Linked DNA regions of Oryctolagus cuniculus. The protein of the gene in region 2 binds, or shares a complex with, the protein of the main gene of each other region. Links are inferred from orthologs where the notes say so. Each region holds a gene or a part of one and is shown on either strand. Other genes may lie near its edges.

Evidence for each region. The genes of interacting proteins can lie anywhere in the genome.
Region 1: the proteins of INTS11 (region 2) and WDR73 are in contact, whole or in part, in a cryo-EM structure (PDB 8R22), measured with the Homo sapiens proteins. The link is inferred for Oryctolagus cuniculus from reciprocal best matches to the Homo sapiens genes INTS11 and WDR73. Residues at the interface, in NP_060341.2 of Homo sapiens: Tyr206, Thr208, Thr209, Ile210, Arg211, Asp212, Ser213, Arg215, Cys216, Arg217, Glu218, Arg219, Asp220, Leu222, Lys223, Lys224, His226, Phe255, Arg258, Met259, Leu364, Val384, Glu385, Tyr386, Ser388, Lys418, Lys419, Glu421, Phe422, Gln425; in NP_116245.2 of Homo sapiens: Asp5, Asp6, Leu8, Val9, Ser11, Leu12, Tyr15, Gln16, Phe18, Tyr19, Ala20, Phe21, Asp22, Leu23, Glu50, Leu52, Arg59, Leu68, Phe69, Pro70, Glu71, Arg72, Asp73, Phe74, Lys75, Val76, Gly79, Phe81, Asp116, Ser117.

The regions. Positions count from the first base shown.
Region 1 is NC_091443.1:100,944,686-100,948,424, forward strand, and holds the start of WDR73 (WD repeat-containing protein 73), read right to left. Parts: upstream 2,866-3,739; 5' UTR 2,777-2,865; coding exon 2,736-2,776; intron 2,285-2,735; coding exon 2,217-2,284; intron 2,001-2,216; coding exon 1,912-2,000; intron 575-1,911; coding exon 486-574; intron 1-485. Other genes in the region: NMB (neuromedin-B), read right to left, coding at 3,547-3,582. UniProt on the Homo sapiens protein: Component of a multiprotein complex required for the assembly of the RNA endonuclease module of the integrator complex. Associates with INTS9 and INTS11 in the cytoplasm, stabilizing the INTS9-INTS11 heterodimer and blocking the active site of INTS11.
Region 2 is NC_091438.1:164,188,325-164,191,835, reverse strand, and holds part of INTS11 (integrator complex subunit 11), read right to left. Parts: intron 3,086-3,511; exon of another isoform or gene 2,474-3,085; coding exon 2,245-2,473; exon of another isoform or gene 1,248-2,244; intron 1,203-1,247; exon of another isoform or gene 1,094-1,202; coding exon 995-1,093; intron 926-994; coding exon 891-925; intron 721-890; coding exon 582-720; intron 373-581; coding exon 308-372; intron 1-307.

The DNA of each region.
Region 1 (3,739 bases), on a different chromosome or scaffold from region 2:
GACAGTGGGTGCTCACCCACATCCCCTCCTTCCCTGCCCGCCCCTCAGCATGGGCTCCCTCCACCCTCCGTTTCCTAAGAAACTGCAGGCTCATCCAGACCACCCAGGCTCACGAGGGGAGGAAGACGCTTACTCCACTTGAGGGACAGGGACACAGCTCACGGGAGTCACGGGGCTAAGTCCAGCCGTCCGCATGTCCTCAAGTCACCTCGAGAGGACACTAGTGGGGAACCTGAACACCCGCCCTGGCCCAGGGCCCCTCAGCGCCCCATCAGCGCTCTCAGAGATGAAGGGCACCCTCTGGCCCGATCCCACACCCGTGCTGGGTACGTCAGTGAGAGCAGCAGGGGCGCGTGGGAAGCCACAGGCGTGGTTCTTTGTATTTTAGATCTGTGTGCACACACGTGCAGAAGGGCAGGGGTGGTGATGACAAGGCAGGATCCCCGGGACTGAATGGAAGCTCCGGACCACAGAACTGGCCTTACCTGGTATCTGGCACGTGCTTTAGAGCAAAAACACACCTGTCTGAAAACCCTCCATGGCACACTTTAAAGTCTCTTTCCGGGAATAAGCCCTGAAACGCAAAACGGGCCAATGAGAGCTGGCCACTCAGCCTCAGCCTCCCGAGGGCCCTGGTGTGCTATCTATGGGTGTCGGTCGCAGGTGCTCTCCCCCTTCTCTGCCACCCAAAGCCCTGCCCCTCGTTTCGCCAGGCCCTTCCACTCCAGCACCCACGACACTCCAGCCCTCTCAGGGGAGTCCAGGGGGTCGGCAGCTTCACCAGGGCAAGAGGGATCCAGGAGCGATGAACACACGCCCACTTCTCCCCATCCCTCCCCTGGACACCAGGGGTTCTTGCAGCTACACAGGCGTTAACACCGGCTGCGTAACACGTGCTCGCTCTGCCGGGCCCTGTGTTTGGGGCTTTATCACATTTACGTCTTACACTACCCTGTGGCGCAGCTACCAGAGCTGGCACTGTTCTGAACATGACAACCCTAAGGCACAGGGAGCTTAGGCAACTTCTCTAAGGTCACAGAGGAGTTAAATTGCAGGGGCTGGCATTGTGGCGCGATGGGTTATCCGACTGGTAGCCTCGCCCCTCCTGTCTCCTGACGATCACCAAGCCCTGGAGTCCCCTCTCTTGTCACCCTGTACCCCTGGAGGCAGAATCGTGTCCAGGGCGCTGCTCCCTCCCTCCCTCCCTCTCTCCCGCACATCCTCTCCTCCTTCAGGGCTTTCTTCCCCACGGCTTGTCACTCTGCTCGGGCCCTGCTTGGGGACACTCTCCCTGGAATCTGTGTCCCAGACAGGGGCAGGGGCTGGTTTCTTCCCTCCCGGCACTTCCCGATGGCATGGCCTCCTTCCTCTCAATATTTGCCCTCACCAAAAACACTGCAGCCGACGTCACCGCGAACTTCCCAAATGCCAGTCTCCTGAGCGAACCCAGCCACTCCCCAGCATCCGAGGGCAGTCACCAACTCTCTTCTCCTGGCCAGGGGTTCTTCTCTTGGCTCCTGAAACACTGGCCTTTTTCCGACTCCTCCTATCTCAGAGACCCTGAGCGTTCACGGTACCAGTGTGCTCTGGGAGGTTCTATCCTTAGCTGTCATCTCTGATTCCTTACCCACCACACACTAATCCTAGGCCAGTGGAACCATCCCATCCCCTGACGGTTTCCGAAACCATTTAGTTTTGATAAACTAAAATCAGCTTCTCGCTCCAGTAGCCCCACATAAACCACGTTAGCATTCAACTCTAAGCATTTACCTCCCTCTATTACACTGAAGGACTGGCACAGTGCTTCTCTCTCTCTCTCTCTCTCTCTCATCCAGGGCATTACCTGATAGACAATACAACCTCCACAAATGCTTCATAAATAAAAGTCAACACACGCATATTTCAAGTTACCTGGTTTTCCTTTACAGAAAGTCGGTGAGGCAATACGAGATGAAGAATCTCGTTTTTTTTCAGGCTTTCATAGCCAGCAACAAAGACTCCTGGAGAAAGGCAGAAGCAGCGTGAGACCGTGAGACTGCAGACCACCGCGGAGTTCACAAACTCCCGCCAAGTCTTCCCCATGCTGGCACGCAACCCCAGACGATGGGCGAGCTGAGTAAGGGGATTATACAAGGGAGCACGGACGGGCGCCCCAGTGCTGCCAGGGGCGGAGTCCCTGAGACAGTGCGACTCCACCTGCTTGGGGGACAGATCACCTTTGTTCCCAATCCATTCAAGGACTCGAGTGGCTCCCGACAGGTCGAATGCATGGAAATCCTGGTACCTGCACAATGAAGGACACACAAACCACTCGGTGCCCCAGAACTCACAGATGGGGCCCAGGCTCTGGCGTCAGCAGGCGTGGGGCCGAGTCTCGTCGGGCGTTCGCTCCGTGTCTGGCCCAGCCAGCGGCGTAACGTCCCTACGCCTCGGTCCTGAGTAACTCCCAGGCCAGCCAGATTCCCCAGGCTGATGTGGGGCATCAATGAGACATCTGGGTCCAGGACTAACCTCCGAGGCTAGAGCGAACGCGCCGGCCACACGCGCCGCTCCCACGAGCACCTCACACAAGCCACAGGCGCGCGGAGGGGCCATGTGCAGGCGTCGCGGCCGGGCGGAGTCCTCCGCATCGCCCCAGCCTCCCCCAGCCTTCGCTGCGCTCCTCCACCCGCACCCATCCGCCCATCCCTCCAGCTCCAGGCCCAGAGCCCGACCCACAGCCCCGCGCGACTCACAAACGCAAGGACTCCACCAGCCAGTCCTCCGCGGACTCCATGGCAACGGCCGCTGCCGACACCCCACTTCCGCTGCCGAGCGGAAGGACAGCCGCCGCGCTCTCGCGAGACCTGGGCGTGGCCTCCCGCCCGGGGGCGGGGCCGAAGGGATCGGACCGCGGATCCCCACGCGTCGCTTTTGGGACTGGGAGTGTCCGGGGTTCTCCGGGCGGCAGCCCCGGGGAAAGTGACGTAAAATCGGGGATTCCCCGATGCCGGAGGGCCCAAATACTCGCCGGCCGTGTGTGGCAGCCCAGCCCCCTGTACTAACACCGGAGCGCCCGTCTGAACTGGGATTCTGCAGCCTCCCTGCTGAATGCCAGCGAGGAGGGTAGGGGGGCGCCCGCCCTCTCAAAGCCTGGCGTGGGGAAGAAATGAGAGGGGCAAGCCCGGCAGTGCCGCGCAGGCAGGGACACGGGAGACCAGGCGTACCGCAGGCGTAGCTTGATTGAGCAGGAGTCAGTGCCAGGCTGGGCCATGGCGCCAAGTGCTCCAGCCCCGTCTGTCTCCCGGCCCCTCTCCCGCCCTCCCTCAAACCTAGCTGGAAGGAGAGGACCACGCATTCTGTGTGAAGAGCAGGGTTTTTATTCACAGCTTCAACAGGGGAGCAACCGATACAGCAGGGATATAACCTCGTGTGCGTCCCGCCAGCTCTGGCGACCCCGTCAGGAATCCCAGCCGTGCAGAGACGGACTGGCGCCCAGCATTTACATCCAGGCGGCACTGCCACCTCCCCCGGGCCGGCACAGTCTAAGGTGAGCTGCTGCTGGCATCACTTCTGCAGTATTTGCACCGGAAGCCTCCTGTACTGAATGAAAACACAGAAGAGTTGATCTGGCAAGGCGGGGTGGGGGCGCGGCGCCGCCCACGAATGGAGCCTCCTGCCACTCCTAAGTGCCAGGCACCTGCAGAGGTGGGCAGGGCAGGACCCCTAGCACGGCTCTCCCTGAAGGGCCCGGGAAGGA
Region 2 (3,511 bases):
CACCCCAGCCCGGTCAGCACAGCCATCGCAGGCCTGGGCCGCTCCCCACACCCGTGGCCACCCCAGCCCGGTCAGCACAGCCATCGCAGGCCTGGGCCGCTCCCCACACCCGTGGCCACCCCAGCCCGGTCCCGCTGCTGTGACCACCGGCTGATGCCCCAGCCTGTGTCCTGTGATGCGCTGGAGCTGACGAGGGCCCTGACATGGCCAGTATGGGGACAACACGGGGCCCCCGGACTGGGGCAGCCCCCACTGCCCCGACAGTAAGCAGACGCCAGCGGAGCCGGGAGAGCCCTGGCCCACCTACCAGAAGGTCTCCAGCAGAATGCAGAGCTCCTGCGCACGGCCCAGCGCAAACACGGGGATCAGCACCTGCAGGACGGGGGCGCTCAGGCGGGGCTCCCACCCAGCAGCAAGGCACAGCCGGTCCTACGGCTGGAGCCTGCTCCCAGCGGGGCCAGGCAGCCCTGCCCGTGCGAGGGTGTGCAGTGCCCCCGACCCCCCGCCGGGGACCACGGGGAAGGGCTCCAGCGGCCGCCCCCGGAGCACGTGGCCCGGGCAGCTGGCCGGACGGCGGCTACCTTGCCGCCCCGCTCCACGGTCTCGTGGACCTTCTTGAGGAAGTCCCGCTCACGGCAGCGCTTGGAGTCGCGGATGGTGGTGGCGTAGGTGGACTCCGTGATGAGCAGGTCCGGGCGGCACTTATCGATCCAGGCAGCTCTGGAACAGACGGACGTCCAGCACTGCACGGGCCCGAGCGACTGGGCCTCGGGCCTTCAAGCACCTAGGCCCCAAGTCCCCAGGGGGGACGACCCACAGGGGACATCCGCACGCTGAGCAGGGGCCGGGACCCTCACCCCCAGGATGGGCGAGGTACATGTGGGACTCACCCCAAATGCCGGTCGGGGGTCATGTTATAGTCGCCCTGTGGGGAAGTGGCGATGAAGAGGCTGCCCCGCCCCCGGGGAAGCCCCGCCCCCAGCCTTCCACCTACCGTATAGACCACGGACTCTGAGCCCACTTTAATCTGGAACATGGCTGCCCCCAGCACGTGGCCCGCGTAGTAAGCCTTGATCTCCAGCTCGTCGTCCACCTGCGGGGGAGGGGCCGCGCTCAGGGGCAGGGGCCACAGCAGTAGGCTCTGCCTGGGCCCCGCACACAGAAGCACAGGGAGCGACGACCGTGACACGGCTGTGGGCCAGGCCCCGCGGTCAGGGAGCGACGACCGTGACACGGCTGTGGGCCAGGCCCCGCGGTCTGGGAGCGACGACCATGACACGGCTGTGGGCCAGGGCCCCGCGGTCAGGGAGCGACGACCGTGACACGGCTGTGAGCCAGGCCCCGTGGTCAGGGAGCGACGACCGTGACACGGCTGTGAGCCAGGCCCCGCGGTCAGGGAGCGACGACCGTGACACGGCTGTGGGCCAGGGCCCGCGGTCAGATGCGGCTCTGAACACGGGGTGGCTCTCGGGGTGCAGGCTTGGGGCTTGGGGGTTAAGGTGCCAGACACCACCTGAGGTGGCCACACTCCACGTCGGAAGCGCCCTGGGAGGTAGCAGTGACCCCTGCCCCCACGGGAGAGCGGGACTGGGCTCCCAGGCACTGACCTCAGCCTGCTGCAGACCTGGCTGCTGCAGCCAGCTGAGGACTAACCCAGCAGACGGAAGGGAAGTGCTGTCTGCGTCGCTCCGTCTCTCGAACGCTCTGCCTTTCAAATAATCTTCAAACAGAAACCAAGTTCTTCAACGCAGAGCCACGAGCTCCGTGTGGACGGGCCACAGTTAGACGGAAAAACGTCCACGGAACACAGGGTGCTGGGGGACGGCTCCCCGCGGCACAGGCGTTCAGCCGGCAGGGGACGGCTCCCCGCGGCACAGGCGTTCAGCCGGCAGACGAGGGGGGCGCCCACAGCAGCTTCCAGAGCACAGGCCGAGCCCGACTCCGTCCAGGCGGGGCCACGATCTTGGGGAGGCGTTTCCCCCATCCGAGTTACACGCCTTTGCTTCTGCCCTGACCCACACACGTTGGTCATCAAGCCCAGGGCTGGGGCCTTCAGAACTCGCCGTCCATCTCTGCCCAGGCCTGACCACCACTGGACAGCACCAGGCACGCACAGAGGCACAAGGGGCCTCGCAGGAATGCCAGCCAGGTGGACGCAAGGGCCCCACGCACCCGCACACACACTGCATGCACCCCTGCCCTCCTGGCGGCCCGGGCCCACTGCGGGGAGGGCGCTGGGCTGACCTGGACCGTCTGGTGCAGGTGCACGGCCACCACCTTCTTCATGCAGTCCTTGATCATCTGGGAGGTGAAGAAGTTGGCCTCGCCCTTCTTGTCCACGGCAATCTTGCGGTAGTCCTCCAGCAGGATGGGGCAGATGGCCTGCGTGGGGTGCGTCATGTAGATGGGCCCGTCGTAGCCCACCATCTCACTGAAGTAGGGCAGCGCTCCGCAGTGGTCCAGGTGGAAGTGGCTGGGGGGCGTGGCGGGCGTCAGCATGGCCAGCCCCAGGCCACCCTCCAGCCTCCCCCGCAGCTCTGGGCTAAGAGTCGCTCCACCCCTTCTCAGACACTACTCTGCGTACTCAAGAGTGATGAAGGAGTGACACACGCGGGGCCCACCTCTAAAACTGACCGCACAAACGTCCAACCCGCACCAGGCAGCAGGTAAAGCCACGCCTGCAGCGCCGGCCTCCCACATGGGCGCCAGTCAGTGCCGGCTGCTCCACTTCCCATCCAGCTCCCTGCTAATGCACCCGGGAAAGCAGCAGCGGACAGACCAAGTGCTTGGACCCCTTCACCCACGTGGGAGACCTGGAAGAAGCTCCTGGCTCCTGACTGGCCCAACCCCAGCCGCTGTGGCCATCTGGGGACTGAACCAGCGAACAGAAGATCTCTCTGTCTCTGCCTCTCTCTTTCTCTGCAATGCTTTCAAATAAATAAATAAATAAAGCTTTAAAAAAAGAAAAAAACAAAAACAAAAACAAAAACAAAAACAAGAAGCAGCAGCAGCGTGAACTAGCCAAGGGGAAGCACTGCCTGACGGTGCTCAGGGAGACCGGGTGGAGGGAGCCCCAGTGCCCAGCCCCTGACGGTGCTCAGGGAGACCGGGTGGAGGGAGCCCCAGTGCCCAGCCCCTGACGGTGCTCAGGGAGACCGGGTGGAGGCAGCCCCAGTGCCCAGCCCCTGACGGTGCTCAGGGAGACCGGGTGGAGGCAGCCCCAGTGCCCAGCCCCTGACGGTGCTCAGGGAGACCGGGTGGAGGCAGCCCCAGTGCCCAGCCCAGGGAAGGCCATGGCCCATGTCCGGAAGGAGCATGCGACACAGGTGCTCAGGACACGGCTTCCTGAGACAGCTGCTGCAGGCCTAACAGACCTGCTCGTGGGAGGCAGGGGCCAGAGGCACAGCGCTTGGCCACTGGGTGGCACTGCCCAGTACAAGTGAGGATGGTGGTCAGAGGGGAGAGGAGGGGGCACTCGGCTCCTCCTCCTGTCCAGTGGGCACTGAGATGC